3 linked regions of the Drosophila melanogaster genome follow. The protein of the gene in region 2 purifies or fractionates together with the protein of the main gene of each other region. This does not show direct contact. Each region holds a gene or a part of one and is shown on either strand. Other genes may lie near its edges.

The links.
Region 1: the proteins of Arpc4 (region 2) and Arpc2 purify together in Drosophila melanogaster (affinity purification with mass spectrometry, with the first as the bait; one large-scale study listed by BioGRID). This does not show direct contact.
Region 3: the proteins of Arpc4 (region 2) and cpa purify together in Drosophila melanogaster (affinity purification with mass spectrometry, with the first as the bait; one large-scale study listed by BioGRID). This does not show direct contact.

What each region holds. Positions count from the first base shown.
Region 1 is NT_033779.5:20,415,476-20,423,099, forward strand, and holds Arpc2 (Actin-related protein 2/3 complex, subunit 2), read left to right. Parts: upstream 1-1,581; 5' UTR 1,582-2,118; coding exon 2,119-2,192; intron 2,193-2,872; exon of another isoform or gene 2,873-3,006; intron 3,007-3,047; exon of another isoform or gene 3,048-3,179; intron 3,180-3,194; exon of another isoform or gene 3,195-3,329; intron 3,330-3,358; exon of another isoform or gene 3,359-3,492; intron 3,493-3,521; exon of another isoform or gene 3,522-3,658; intron 3,659-3,669; exon of another isoform or gene 3,670-3,806; intron 3,807-3,827; exon of another isoform or gene 3,828-3,955; intron 3,956-3,980; exon of another isoform or gene 3,981-4,110; intron 4,111-4,150; exon of another isoform or gene 4,151-4,281; intron 4,282-4,298; exon of another isoform or gene 4,299-4,433; intron 4,434-4,456; exon of another isoform or gene 4,457-4,590; intron 4,591-4,843; coding exon 4,844-4,937; intron 4,938-5,014; coding exon 5,015-5,114; intron 5,115-5,172; coding exon 5,173-5,359; intron 5,360-5,421; coding exon 5,422-5,642; intron 5,643-5,675; exon of another isoform or gene 5,676-5,799; intron 5,800-5,828; exon of another isoform or gene 5,829-5,963; intron 5,964-5,999; exon of another isoform or gene 6,000-6,125; intron 6,126-6,141; and 13 more. Other genes in the region: CG10949 (uncharacterized protein), read right to left, coding at 1-631, 689-1,229. UniProt on the Drosophila melanogaster protein: Functions as actin-binding component of the Arp2/3 complex which is involved in regulation of actin polymerization and together with an activating nucleation-promoting factor (NPF) mediates the formation of branched actin networks.
Region 2 is NT_033779.5:6,123,219-6,126,429, forward strand, and holds Arpc4 (Actin-related protein 2/3 complex, subunit 4), read left to right. Parts: upstream 1-1,913; 5' UTR 1,914-2,030; coding exon 2,031-2,537; intron 2,538-2,605; 3' UTR 2,606-2,693; downstream 2,694-3,211. Other genes in the region: WDR79 (WD repeat domain 79), read right to left, coding at 2,714-3,211.
Region 3 is NT_033778.4:21,056,194-21,060,426, reverse strand, and holds cpa (capping protein alpha), read right to left. Parts: upstream 2,641-4,233; 5' UTR 2,406-2,640; coding exon 2,165-2,405; intron 2,044-2,164; coding exon 1,874-2,043; intron 1,816-1,873; coding exon 1,366-1,815; 3' UTR 544-1,365; downstream 1-543. Other genes in the region: CG15653 (uncharacterized protein), read left to right, coding at 1-247, 305-528; shg (shotgun), read left to right, coding at 3,954-4,233. UniProt on the Drosophila melanogaster protein: F-actin-capping proteins bind in a Ca(2+)-independent manner to the fast growing ends of actin filaments (barbed end) thereby blocking the exchange of subunits at these ends.

The sequences.
Region 1 (7,624 bases), about 14 Mb from region 2:
TGAATCTGGGCCTGCAGCTCCCGGGATTGCTGAAGCACGGTCTCCATGTTGGCAATCACGGTGGTCAACAGTTTGTCGGAGATGGCGGCAGACGGTACAGAGTCCCCAGGGAGAGAGGAGGACTCCTCTACGACGGGATTTACCCTGGCGATTGTGTGAATTATTTCCTCACTGGTGGCCGGCGTGGTGGTGGTCACCTGGAGCTGCTGTGGTGGCTCCAAGTCCTGCCGTGCCGTCGCTTCGCTGAGGATAAAATCGTACGGCGTTGCTTGCTCCGCCTCCGATAGTATCTCAATCTCTTCATCGTAGGCCAACTCAAGATCATCCTCCAGATCGTCGTTGTCCGTACTGTAGGGGTAATCAGCGCCCCAGATTTGCTCACCACTGGAGATCACCATTCCCTCCGGCTGTTTGCTGGTCTTTCCCGAAGGATTTCCTGCTTTGGGTGGTCGTCCACGTCGCTTGATGTTCTCCAAAACCAGGGGCACTCCTTTGCGGAAGTGGCGGCCCAGAAAGAGAAGGTCGTTAAAGTACCTCCACGTGATGGGCGTGGACTGGTTGATCTGATGACTGCGGAACTCCCGCCCGAAACGATCACGCAGCTTCTTCCAGCGGTTGTAGCAAAGTTCCTCTATTGAAAATTATCGGCATTAAGGGCTGAAGATCAAGAGGGTTACCCCGAGCTCACCCGACACATTTAGGTTTTCAGAAATCTCTCGCCAGGCTTCGTTTTTCGCTGCTAGGTTCTTGGAGACTCTGATCTTGTGACGATCATACAGCACGGGATGAGACTTGACCAGCTCAATGAGCTGCTCGTTCAGCAGGTCATCCTGGGAGTCCTCCTCCTCCTCGTCCTTTCTCCGCCTCTCCTGCTCCATGTCCACTTTTGTGCGCTTTTTCCGCTCCCTGGGCTCAAAACGCATCCCGTCGAGACTCTCGTTCCTTGCCAGTCCCTGTTTGTAGTGATCCTTGAGAAAGAGCAGTCGCGGAAACATGTCCCAGTAGGTGGGCTCATCCGGACGCTCCTGGAAACGGCGAAACTCCTTGCCGAAACGATCGCGAATGCTCTTCCAGCGCGTAATGCACGCCCGTTCCGAGGCTCCTAACTTCTGGGAGATGGCCTTCCAGGCCGCGTCCTTTTGCGCCGCATTCTTCACGCTCCTCGCGCAGTCCTTGTCGTACAGGATCGGGTGTCTCTCTATCAATTTAATCAGCTCATCGTCGTCCATTGATTTTCGCTATTATTTGTTTTTATTTATTCTGAACGATCCGGCAGCCTGGCGGGAAATATTGATAGTCGATAGGCGATGGGTCATCGCACAAAAAGGGCTGCCAGATTATTCTGTTAAAAAAATGTGCCTCTTAGTTTTATAGCACCGTTATTATAACAATGTTAAATAAAATATTTGTGTGTTTGTCTTAAAATGTCTTAATACATATTTATAATTTAAAGTTCGTGTGTACGAATTTCGTTTAAAATATATTCTATTTTATATATTTTAAAGAAAATTCTCTTTATGTTTGTTAAAATCTGCTGGTTTGAATTTCTGTGTAACCTGATAACATTGATGGTCGATAGCTCGATACTTCAATCTTTCCATCGGTGAGTTTGCCCCATCTCTATTGTGCTACCTGGCAACGCTGTGAGCAAGGAAAATACGGCAGCGTGCTCCCCGTTTTCCATCCACGTTTTGTTATAATTTTATAAGTATTACGGTCTGAGACCGATTTTGCACTGCATCGTGCGCGCTGCAAGTACTGGCGATTGGAAATTGGAGGCGCGAAAAGAGGATAAGGTGGATTTTCTTGCAACTGTGTGTGTGAGCATTGGAATTCGCCCGTGTGTGTGGCGAGAGTGCGTCCATGTGTGTGTGACGGACCAAAAAAGCCGACATCAGCGCCCATTTTTTGTTGTTGATTCATTAATACGCCCGTCATGCACCAGTATTGGTGAGTTGGAGCAGCGCACCGTCTTACTCGCACTCAACGGAGCGCAGAAAGAGCGCAGGGAGCGGCAGAAGAAGAAGCAGCGAGCAGCAGCACCATTAGCGGCAGTCAACGTCATATAATTTGTCATCGAAATTGGCACACTAAAAATAACAGTTAACTTCAACCGCCATGATCCTGCTGGAAATCAATAATCGGATTATCGAGGAGACGCTGCTGGTCAAATACCGTAATGCCCAGGCTGGGTAAGTCAATGCCTTCCAGTCCCGTTTCCCCAATTTCCATTCCACCATTTTGATTTCTATGCTGCATTCCCCACCGTTCTGTTATCACCAGTCGGCTTTGTTATCAATTTCGTTAGCTCTCTCTTTCCTCGGGAATAAATTTGGGTGTAGTTCCAGCCTTGGAACACTCATCGCTGCAGCTCTCTCCCTCCCACACACGTACCCAAGTACAGTGCAGCCCCCTTACGTCGACAGCGTATTAGTTAATTCATTACAACTCGCTATTCGCATCATCGGTGCTGAAAATCTGCAAAACTGACTCATCCATTGACGTGCATTCAAACGCATACGCTTGTGATGATCGAAAATATTAGTATTTATTTGTTCCTAATCCCGAAAAAGGATATTATTATTGAAGAAACATTATCAAAGGAGTCGTGTTACGAAAGAAATATGTTTAAGCTAAACGGTTTAGAAGAAGCTTAGACGAAGCTTACAGACTAACAAAATTATTAAAATTAGTAAAATAACTTATTGTACTAACAGCACTATCAGCAGAAAGAGGTATTTGTGTTTGGTAGCGAATGATTAAGATCTCACATAAATAAATGTATTTAAATGCTAATAGTTATGATGCCATTAGTTTATTCCCGATAAGATTGCAGTGTAATGCCTGAAATTAAGGCAATAAAAGTTATAAATTGTGGAACAAAAGTGGCATACTTGGAAAAAATCTCCTGTTGTGTCTCAAATGTTCCAAAATAAACCAAAAGGACGAACGGCATCCTGAATAATCAATCATATTATAGCAGATGACTTGTGTTCGTGTACATAAAAACTAATAGTTTCAATATTACTCCCCTATTATCTGTATTCTTGGGAGACAAAGTTTACATGCTAAAGATTCTCCATTTTCCGTGTCTACAACGCTCCGATATAAATTGTAACGCTTAAATCATCTTGAGTAATTCTTTTTGTTTCTTAAGATAAATACTTTCGTGTACATTATTGCAAATTTTAGGCTTTGGAGCCAAAGTGGCATTCTTCAAAAACAATATTTGATCTGTGTCTCAAAAGCTCCAACATTAACTAGAAAGACGAACGGCATCCTGAATAATCAATCATATTATAACAGATGACTTGTGTTCGTGTACATTTGCCATAAAATGTTCAACTTTTGTAATATTCTGGAGTCAAAGTGGCACGTCTTACGATCTTCCTGTAACTTGTGTCTCAAATGCTCCAATATCAAACGAAAGGACGAACGGCATCCTGAATAATCAATCATATTATAGCAGATGACTTGTGTTCGACTACAATAGTATTCGATTTATTAGACCAATAATGCCTCGGGAGACAAAGTTTACATGTTGAAGATGATGTGGCTTCTTTTTCGTGTCTACAATGCTCCAAAATAAATTGTTCGTTTAAATCGTCTTATTCGATTTATTTTATTGCCTAAGATGGTTGCCAACTGCACAACAACTAATTAAATATTTGGGTGGAGTTAAAGTGGCATATTTTATAGCTTTCCTTTGATCTGTGTCTCTATCGCTCCAATATCAATTTTATAAGCGAACGGCATCCTGTTTAATTACTTATATTAAGACAGACGACTTGTGTTCGTGCACAACTTCAAAATGCTTCAATAGTCATATGGAGAAAAAGTTTACATGCTAAAGTATTTTTCTTTTCCGTGTCTACAATGCTCCAATATTAATTGAACGTCTAAATCATCTTGGATATAATTATATTTCCATAGATAAATACATTCGTTCACAATACATTCGTTGTTCATATGAAAATGGATTGGAGTCAAAGTGGCACACTTAATCCATTTTTATTTGTGTCTCAAATGCTCCAATATCAAATGCAAAGGCGAACGGCATCCTGAATAATTATGCATATTATAACAGATGACTTGTGTTCGCCTACAATAGCTCCTGATAGCTTTACATTCCTTTATAAGACTCCCGTCTTCGGAGACAAAGTTTACATGCTAAGGATAAGATCTTTTTCGTGTCTACAATGCTCCAAGAGCAAATGTTCGTTTAAATCATCCTTGGCATTCAATATTTTTGCTGTGGATGCATTTAATTCGTGCACATATTTATAGATATGTATGTCGTGGAGGTAAAGTGGCATTCTCGGGATATATAAACCTGCCTGTGTCTCAAACACTCCCAAATCAACTTGGTTGGCGAACGGCATCCTGAGTAATTAATAATATTACATCAGATGACTTGAGTTCGCGCACAATCGCTTTAAGATCGCAAAGTACGATTTAGGAGCCAAAGTGGCATGCCTTGGAACTTTTATCCAATTTGTGTCTCTAATGCTCCGATACTAATTATACAAACGAACGGCATCCTGTTTGATCCTACATATCACAATAGATGACTTGAGTTCGTGTACATTATTCAGAAATATTTGTTTAGTTCTTGTAATTGAATTAAACTAAATTTAGATATCGGCTTAGCGATCCAGATACAAATACATACGGATGTTTTAATTTATTCGAAAACGCAAAATATAATTTTATTGCTGCTGGTTTCTTTTGGAAAAATAATCGGGTATAAACGAGTTTATGTGATAAGATACGGTGGAGTGTGGGGAGCATGACTAATAAGCAAGAAAATAAATGAGAATTTACTTTTTAATTCTCTTTCCAGACTGAAGCCTGAATCGATAGACATACGAATAGCAGACTTCGACGGCGTCCTTTATCACATTTCCAATGTGAATGGCGATAAAACAAAAGTTCGGGTAAGTGTACCGCGTACTATTCATTTAGGATAAATCCAACATTAACGATTTCTCACTTTTCTTGGGCTGCGAAACAGATCAGCATATCGCTGAAGTTCTACAAACAGCTGCAAGAACATGGAGCCGACGAGTTGCTGAAGCGTGAATATGGCAGTCTGCTTACAGACACGGAAGAAGGTACGTTCGTGTTTAAGTTCGGCATTTAAAGAAGTTAATTACTCTCGTCTAATTGCAGGCTACAATGTTTCCGTACTTATCAACCTGGAGGAGATTCCCGAGGACTGCGAGCAAATCGCAAAGAGAATCGGACTGCTGAAGCGCAACTGTTTCGCATCGGTTTTTGAAAAGTATTTTGACTATCAGGAGCAGGGCGAAGAGGGCCAAAAGCGTGCCGTCATTAACTACCGCAACGATGAGACTTTGTAAGTCAGAAAAATATGTTTTTGACTCGTCCAAGCGCTGACAATCTACAATCGATTTGCAGATATGTGGAAGCCAAGCCTGATCGTGTCACCGTCGTCTTTAGTACCATTTTCCGGGACGAAGACGATGTCATTATCGGCAAAGTATTTATGCAGGAATTGAGGGAAGGTCGGCGTGCCTCGCACACCGCACCACAAGTGCTCTTTTCGCACCGAGAACCACCATTGGAATTGGCCAACACGGACGCTAGGGTGGGCGACAACATTGGCTATGTCACATTCGGTATGTTAAAGGTTGAATGGTAAACCATGTGCTGTGGAGCCAAAGTTTACACGTTAAAGTGCATTTGTCTTTTCCATGTCTACAAGGCTCCATATAAATAGTATCGTTAAAATCATCTTGAACATTCTAGTTTATAAATATATCCAATGATAAATACTTCCGCGCACAATAATGCATTAAAGTCACCTGTGGAGTCAAAGTGGCATGTTTTAAATTACAATTTGAATTGTGTCTCAAATGCTCCAATATCAACAAGATATGCGAACGGCATCCTGAATAATCAATCATATTATAGCAGATGACTTGTGTTTGTGTACAGTAACACACCAACCCAGAATCCCCAAGCTGAATTGTTCAGTGGAGACAAAGTTTACATTTTAACAGTATTATCGTTTTTATGTCTACAATGCTCCGAAATCAATATCCGATCCAATTATCCAAAGCAGTCTTATATTTCCTTGGATGATTTCTTTCGTTACAAAAATGTCAGTATATTCCATATGGAGTTAAAGTGGCATATTTTTAATACTTACCCTAAATCTGTGTCTCTAAAGCTCCAATATTAAATAAATAGACAATCGGCATCCTGAATAATCAATCATATTATAGCAGATGACTTGTGTTTGTGTACAGTAAAAGAATATCTTAGACTGCCTTTTTTAAATGGAGACAAAGTTTACATGTTAACAATATTATCGTTTTCGTGTCTACAATGCTCCAAAATCAATATATTCGATCGAATCATCCGAAGCAGTCTTATATTTCCTTGGATGATTTCTTTGGTGCACAGTGCACAGCTAATGTAATCCCAATGGAGTTAAAGTGGCATATTTTGTATACCTTCCTTCAATTTGTGTCTCTAATGCTCCAATATTAAATAAGTAGACGAACGGCATCCTGAATAATCAATCATATTATCGCAGATGACTTGTGTTTGTGTACAGTACTTCTTAGAATTGAACCGATGTTACACTTTGAAATATCCAAAAGAAACAAAATAGTAACGACTCATACTTGTTTTTTGCAGTACTCTTCCCTCGGCATACCAACAAAGAAACAAGGGACAATACCATTAACTTAATTCACATGTTCCGAGATTACTTGCACTACCACATTAAGGTAAGTGTTGTATGCAGCTATGCAAAAATATCTTTTATATATTTGAAATATGCATTTTTGAGCAGTGTTCAAAGGCTTACATTCATTCGCGCATGCGAGCAAAAACCTCGGATTTCCTCAAGGTGCTAAATCGTGCAAGGCCAGAGCCCAAAAACACGGAGAAGAAAACTATAACGTGAGCATTGGACTTTCCATAACGAATTCTGATTACTAACTCGTGTTCTTTTTGCAGGGGGAGAACTTTCAAGCGCATCGATTGATGTGTTCAGTATATTTAGTTGTTTTTATATAAATACAAAAAATAAATTGTGTATTAAAATTCGATATCCGAATGGTGAATCCAACATAAACTAAACCAGATTGCAAGACAAACCCAAGTATTCCAAACAGAACCGTAAGGCTAAATGTAAGCTCAGCAAAATAATGATCAAAGAATTAATAGTTACGCGTTAGTAAATGAATTGTGTGTGTTTGTGTCGAGTCATCGTCAAATCCGTGTCTCCGCCAATTTGTTACAGTCATAGGCCGAGTCAGCGCCACAGCTGAGCCGCATTTTAAACAAATAAACGTAGACTTAAGTGCAACATGAGAACTAAAACTACCATGTCAAAGCGAGCAACACGACTAAGGGATGCCACCAACTTGTTATATAGTCGCAATGGAGGATTCATCCCCGCAATTAGCCTGTATGTGTAGAAAGCGCATTTAAAAACGTACTGCAAATATTAACAAACCTTTGATACAGCAATCGGAATTAATAAAAACGAGAAAATCAAACTGCAATGTAAAATAAAAAAAGGGACACTCTTTTAATCTCTAGCTAGCTGCAGACGCTCGAATACACTTTATTTTCTAGCTTATTA
Region 2 (3,211 bases):
TATTATGAAAGCAAACGAAGCGAAGGGCAAGGGCAAAGTCTCAAGATACCGCTGAGCGAGTTTTCTCACGAGCTCTATAATGAAACACGAATAAGCTACTATAAAGCGAAAAGAAATGAATGCTTACGGCAAGTTAATGCAAAAAAAAAATTAGTAAAGGAAATCTACATTTAAACTTAAAAGCCCAGGCAGAAAAGCCTATGCAAGTTGAATGCATGCCTGTCATTTAAAATTTCAAATTCTTTTAAAAGTTCACGTTGATTTCAGTTGAAAGTTTAAAACACTTTTTACCTTGAGTTCCAAGAATGTTATATTCGTTTTGGATTCATTATTTTCAAAGTCTTAGTCTTGAATGTTCAAGTTTTTTTTTTTTTTTAATTACTGTGGCATCGACTGAGGTATTCTCAAAATAATAAGCACGCTGTATTTGCATCTATGAATGGCTTTCGCGAGTAAAAATTTGAAAATGTTTTTAATTAAGTTAATGTATACTTTAGTGGTAATTTTAATTTACTAACTTGCAACAACATGATACATATACATGCTGAATATAGTTTTACACTAACAAATAATTTGTTCTTATAAGTTTCGCATTTTCTATCTATAAAATAAATGTCTAACAGAAAAAATACATAAGAAATGCTTATACAATTCAATAAAATCAAATACCATGTAAAACACACGAAACGCATTTTTCCTTTATTTACATACAACACAAACACTAAAAACGCTGATATAGACATTAATATAAATGGAAGGAAACTACGTATAAGCATACATTAATGTGTGTAATATTATATGGAAATGCATATTTTGTCTAACGTCGGGTTATTTTTAGAAATGGGTTTAAGAGGAGAGTGAATGTGGGGGTTATAATAAAAAAAAAAAAAAGTATTTAGGGCAAACCAAATGGAATATTTAGGAAAATTTTTTCCAAAAACCTGCGAGTTATTTTTAATTTTGCACCAAAGGGCGCTTTAAAGATTAGCTTAAATTTAAATCTTATATCGTTATATATGTATGTGTACTCGTGTAAACCTATGGCTTCTACAAATGAATATCAATAACATAAATCTCTTAATAAAAATGTGCATTGGCAAAACAATTTAACACGCACAGGACACCAAATTACCCAGACACGAAAACTTTCAAGCATACTCAAGAAAAAACGAACAAAATATAAACGCAAAGCATAAAATGCTTTGATATTTACTCAATTTATGATATATTAATGTCTAATCCAATGCAATAATCAGCCGAAACATTTTTTGAGTATTGAGAGTAGGAAAGGGTTACAATTTTGAACGATTGATTAAAATACTCACTTTCTAGGTTCACGCATAATTTAAGTTCATATAAGCCACAAATAACTGACCATATGCGAGCAAAAATACTTATAACAATTGTATAATAAAAGTGCATTAAACAAATAAATGCAATATTTATAATTGGTGGATGCTGTTTTCTTCTAAATTAACATTTTTCCTCTTTGCTGGTGTGTTGGGTTTTCGGACTTTAATATGGTACACATATATTTGATATTTCCATTTCAAATTTTAACGCTTCTAGCCATATACATTTTTCTTAAATTTTTAAAATTTAGGTATGATTTAAATTGTTTCACTCCTAAAAATTCCACAAAGATAAGATACAAATGGAAATGGAACAGTGGTTGTGGTCTCGGGTAAGTTCTTGATAGTCAAGTTTCTTACCATCTTAACACAGGACATCATAAGAAATGTTTTAAGTGCGATTTGATAAATGTTTAAAAACAACATGTTTAATATTGATTGTATAAACTTTATGCATAGTCTTCCCAAACATATAATAGAAACTGTTTCATAACAAATTCCAAATAGTTGCTATGTTTTTGCGGCCCCACCTCGGCATTGGTATTTTCCTGCCAGCCGCGCATGGTCACATCTTTTCTGGTTGATAAATTCCAGGGCCTGTGAATCATAATAAGTTAAGTAAAAAGTGCAGATACAACAAACCGCAGGCAGCAGACAACAACCCGACACCCAGACACAATGGCAGCCACATTGAAGCCCTACCTGACCGCCGTGCGACACTCGCTGACGGCGGCGATGTGCCTGCAGGACTTCCCCTCGCAGGTGGTGGAGCGGCACAACAAGCCGGAGGTGGAGATCTGTTCCAGCAAGGAGCTGGTGCTCACGCCCGTCGTCGTGTCGCGCAACGAGCGGGAGAAGGTGCTGATCGAGCCGTCCATTAACTCGGTGCGCGTGAGCATCGCCGTGAAGCAGGCCGACGAGATTGAGCGCATACTGTGCCACAAGTTCACCAGGTTCATGATGCGACGCGCCGAGTCGTTCGTCATACTGCGCCGCAAGCCCATCGAGGGCTACGACATAAGCTTCCTCATCACCAACTTCCACACGGAGCAGATGTATAAGCACAAACTGGTGGACTTTGTCATTAGCTTCATGGAGGAGATCGACAAGGAGATCAGCGAAATGAAACTGGCGGTCAATGCCAGGGCACGCACCTGCGCCGAGGAGTTCCTCAAACGGTTCTAGGTAAGTGTTCCACCTAACAGCCATCGCCATTGAGTCGACGCCAACTTACTCTCGCAAATCCTTTGCAGGTGAAGGCAACCAGTATGGACCCGGTCATGATGCTTTAGTATTTCCAAATGGATTCAAGAATAAAGACGGATTTTGTATTATTTACTCGACTACACCAGTTTTATATGCTATCCCGTTTGGCCGCACCACCACATGACCACTGCGTTCTCGTAGAGAACTTCCTTCTGATTTTGATTCACATCGGCCGGCGCCGGCAACTCCGTCGTTTCCGTTCCGTTTAAGGTCACGTTGTCCCCTTGGGCACTTTGGTCTGTAAAGTGGAACTGCCCCGAGCTGGTGGCTAGAATCGGCATAGCCGGATTGAGTGCCACTCCGTTGCAGCAGTCTGAATGCAGGGGCAGTACGGAAGGATCTCCGTATTTTTTGAGATCCCAAACATTGACGAATCCCCGTGTGTCACCGCTAGCCAGCCAATTGCTGTCGGATGCGAGGTCGAATTGAATACGCTGATTGGTGTCCACATGGCGCTGCAACTCCACCAGTGGCTGCTTGTAGTTGCGCATGTCCCACTGCAAGATCTTATCGCACTTGCGAGCTCCACTGAACAGATGCCACTCCCCGTTGCCAAACTCTCCATAGCGCAGTTGTGTGATGCCGCCCTTGTG
Region 3 (4,233 bases), on a different chromosome or scaffold from region 2:
ATTTGTGTCTACGGTGCGGTGGCCTCCATATCCGCTGTGATGTACATGAAATGGAAGATGGAGGATCGGGTGAAATCCGCAGAGTACTACAAACTGGCCTTGAAGGCACTGCGGAGCCATCGAGGAGCAGTTGGTCTCCTGGGTGAACCCATCAAGGACTCTGGCATCGATCTGTCCAACGCCAACAACAATTGCAATGCGGAGGAGGCGCGTTGTGAGGTGGCTGTGCGGGGCAGCAAGGATAAAGGTAGATCCATCGATTTTGAAAGCAAATCTTTGGCGTTTACCAACCTTATATTTGCAGGAACTTTATACTTTTGGGCGTCCAATCAGCCGGATAGAGGCTGGCTGATCGATCGACTGGAGCTGGAAACAAAACTCAACCCAGAGAAACGATTTTTGCTTAAAAAATCCGAGGAACTAACCTTCGATCTGCCCGAGAGTATAACCAAACAAACTGCCCAGCAAGTTGATTCCAATGTCATTCTATCCGCATCGGATCAACAACCAGAAACACATTCAAAGTGAAGACAATCCGAATGTCCGATTCAATTAGTTTATTCTCTTTAAATTTGACTAATTCAAGCAATCTTAAATGTTTTATAGTTATGTTATTTTAATTACAAATTTATTGTTTTTATAAAATCAAAGTCTTTAGTTATTGTTTGTCAATGGAGAGCTGGCAAAAATGATCAGTGGTTTAGCATAGTTATTATTCATGCTCATACTAGGTGGTTGGTTTGTGAACAATCGGGAAAGCGAAAAACTTGAATGAGTGCTCCTAATGATACCACTTAAAATAGTCGAGAGTCGGCTGGTTGGTCTTCAAAGACACGAAGAATTGACTGGCTCATCGAGAGCGCAGATCTCGAGCTTGATTCGTTTAAAATTAGAATAATACATAGGTCAGAGGACATGATAAAATCCGCGTTTAATGCTCTTCTTAAACGATAAAGGCGACAATTGGTGGCGATCGTGACGTAGACGAGGCGGCAGTGCATCGTTCACCGTCAGGCTAAAGTCATCCAAATCCTTGCAATCAAATCGTCTCCGATCGTACTCGATATATGTGTAGTTATGTTTACGCACTTTCGTCGTTGTATAACACAGTATAAATACAGGCCGTATATATATATATAAGTAGGTATATGTTCGTATGTATATAGCCAATTACAGACATTTGCTTTTTCGGCAGGCACCTGCACCTGGCCGCCCTCGTTTCTCGTATTCCTGCTACTTCGTTTCGGATGCTGTGGTGTTAATGCTGGTGATCGGTTCCTATGCTCGCTTGGCCATGGCAAGTGGAAGACTATTGGGCCGCTTTGTCGACTGTGTCCGCTCCTCTTCCGCTTGCACCTCCTGGTCTTATTGCGTCTTCAGTTCCTTGCCAATGCTGTACGAGACGATTTTGCTCCAGTCGATCTTGGTCCTGGTGATGGGCAACTGGCGACGCATTGCCTTGAATGTCGTGTCCGACATCGTCTGATAGTTCTCCGAAATGGCCAGCTGGTACTCATTCTCGGCGTCCTCGATCAGACGGATCACCTCCTTGGCCACCTGCTGCTCGTTGCTGACCACCACGCTTTCGCGGCACTCCTTTGAGGACACCAGCTGGACGTTGCCGTCCTCGTAGTAATGCACCTGCACCTTGAGCACACCCTTCAGTTCGGCGGTTCCGCTGCCCGCCTGGAAGGTCACATGCCACTGGGAGCGCCATCGGCCATTCCAATAGTTCTTCGGCTGGAACTGGTGGTCTTCGATGCAAATGGTCAGGGTGATCTGGTTGCCCTGCGCCTTTCCAAAAACAGAGCTGACCTGTAGAGAAAATGTTACGGGTTATTGTAAGCAATAGAGCGTTTTTCATTCAACTTACCCCGTGTCTATAATGACTGGCAGTGTAGGCGAGCGTCTCCAGGTCGAGGGCCGCCCTCCAGGGCTCCGCAGTGGCATCTGCCTCTACGTCCTGGTAGTCGGAAGCCTCTTTTCGGAGGTGGTCGTATTTGAAGGCTTGCTTTGTGCGCGGGTCGTAGAAGCGACCGTTTCCTGGAATGCAATTGCTTATCAGTGTGGGGCTCAAGATATCGACCGAAAGCCAAACAATGTGTGTAGGTGACTCATATGGCAGGCTTTGTCCATTTAAGGGCATTGATGGAACTGAACTCACCCAGATCGTTGTGTTCCGATATGATGGCGTTATGATCGGTGCCCTCGATGCGAACCGGAGTCAGCTGGTCCTTGTTGTATTGGGCGAAGGCGTGGCTAGCCCCATCCTTTAGCAGAGTGTCATTCTTGAGGAGCTCCCGCACATCGTTGAACACTTCGTTGAACTCGCCGGGCGGCGCATGTAGGATGAAGTCCGATACGATGCGCACCTTCTCCGCATCGGTGATCGGTGTCTGCTCCATAGTTCCACTGGTGATTCACGAAATCGGGGCTGGGCGGTTGTTTGGTTTGGTCTGGTTTCCCCTCCGGTTCCTAGGGTTCTACCTTTCGACGGGATCTTCTTGTGGAGTGGTTGGAAGTTGCGGTGTCGCTGGAACTCTTCCTTGACCGTTTTTTCGGCGCTGCAATCTTTTTTCTCCGCAATTAATGGGCCAAGACGATGACGATTCGATTCACTTTTTTTTCCACTCTTTGCTAGGGATGGGAAATATTTGTGTACCTGTACCGGATGCGATTCACCGTATTTTACGGGCAGTCTACACTGCTCCATAATCCGACGGGTGAATGGCAAAAGTCTTGGCGCGTTACTTGAATTGCAATAAAAAAACTTTTAACGATGTAGAATGTAATACATTATAGAAATAGTTCCTCGAGACCAATAAATATCATTGCCTGTTCAAAACCAAACTCAATCAGAACTTTTTTAAAGCAAATTATGTTATTGTTGTACATGGTAGCTAGTTTTGGTTATTAAATATTTTTCAGTTATATAAGTATTAAAGTATTGATCAACTCGTTTAAAATTAACCTGTTTGTTTGTGAAAAATAGTTGTTAATAATTCTATTTGAAAGCCCAAGCTGGGCCATTTTTATCTTCCAGCTTCCATTTTTAAAGAAATATTTGTTATATTAAATCCAGTGTAATTGATTCACATCAACGTATTTATCGAGAAGTGTAGACAGTATATAGTATCGATAAAACGAAAACATCGAGATTATTAACCGTTAATTATCGATGACCGAGGAATCGACGGTGTCTCACATCTCTAACGCCGCCCGTTGTTTTTGTTGCATTGTGTTTTTGCTTTTGAATTGAGCGGTTGTCTCGCGCGTCGATCGCAGTTTCAAAATCGGTGTGGCTCCGCAGCTTCGTTGTAAGTCGACAATAAAAGCGATCGAAGTGAAAGAAAATACGTTTTGCGATCTTTTTATTTAAAATAATTCGCCAGAAAGTACAAGTTCACAACGAAATACCATCGAAAAGTGCCTTTTTACCAAAAGTCGTTGGTAACACACATACCAACGCAGCGAACCGAACCACACGCACACAAATGCGCGCGCTTGGCGGTGTGCGTGTAACCACTTTTTTACCTGGTCTTACCTGTTTGCGGTGCGAAAGAGAGGAGGCAACAGAAACGGAGAAAGAGAGTGCCCAAGCGGACGAGTGAAAGATAAAAGTGAACGAAAATATCAGCCAGAGCAGCTGCACCGAAATCGGAATAAGTCAGTTAACAATCAGGGCGCGCACTGTACGAGTTCGATTCGATTGATAATTATTGAGCGGTTGCCATGAAAATGCAGTCCAAACAAACGGTACACTGAGAGAAACGAAACAAGAAGAAGAGTGCAAATAGAATAGAATAAAAAAGAAGTGGAAGTAGAAGTGGGCAACACAAACAAAAGTAAAAGGTGTGTGAGTGAAATAATACTGGGTGATTCACGAAGAAGTGCTCAAAAGTGTTGCGGTTGAAAAAAAGAGAGTCTGCGATGGCGGATCGCCGCTAGAGAGTATGTCCACCAGTGTCCAGCGAATGTCCAGAAGCTACCACTGCATCAATATGTCGGCGACCCCGCAGGCCGGCCACCTAAATCCCGCCCAGCAACAGACGCACCAGCAGCACAAGCGAAAATGCCGCGACCTTGGCAGGCGACTAATCCCCGCGAGACTCCTCCTGGGCGTTATCGTGGCCATCAGCCTTCTGTCACCCGCCCTCGCACTTCACTCGCCGCCGGACAAAAACTTTTCCGGCGACAATCGTAAGCCCGCCTTCAAAAACTGCGCCGGATACG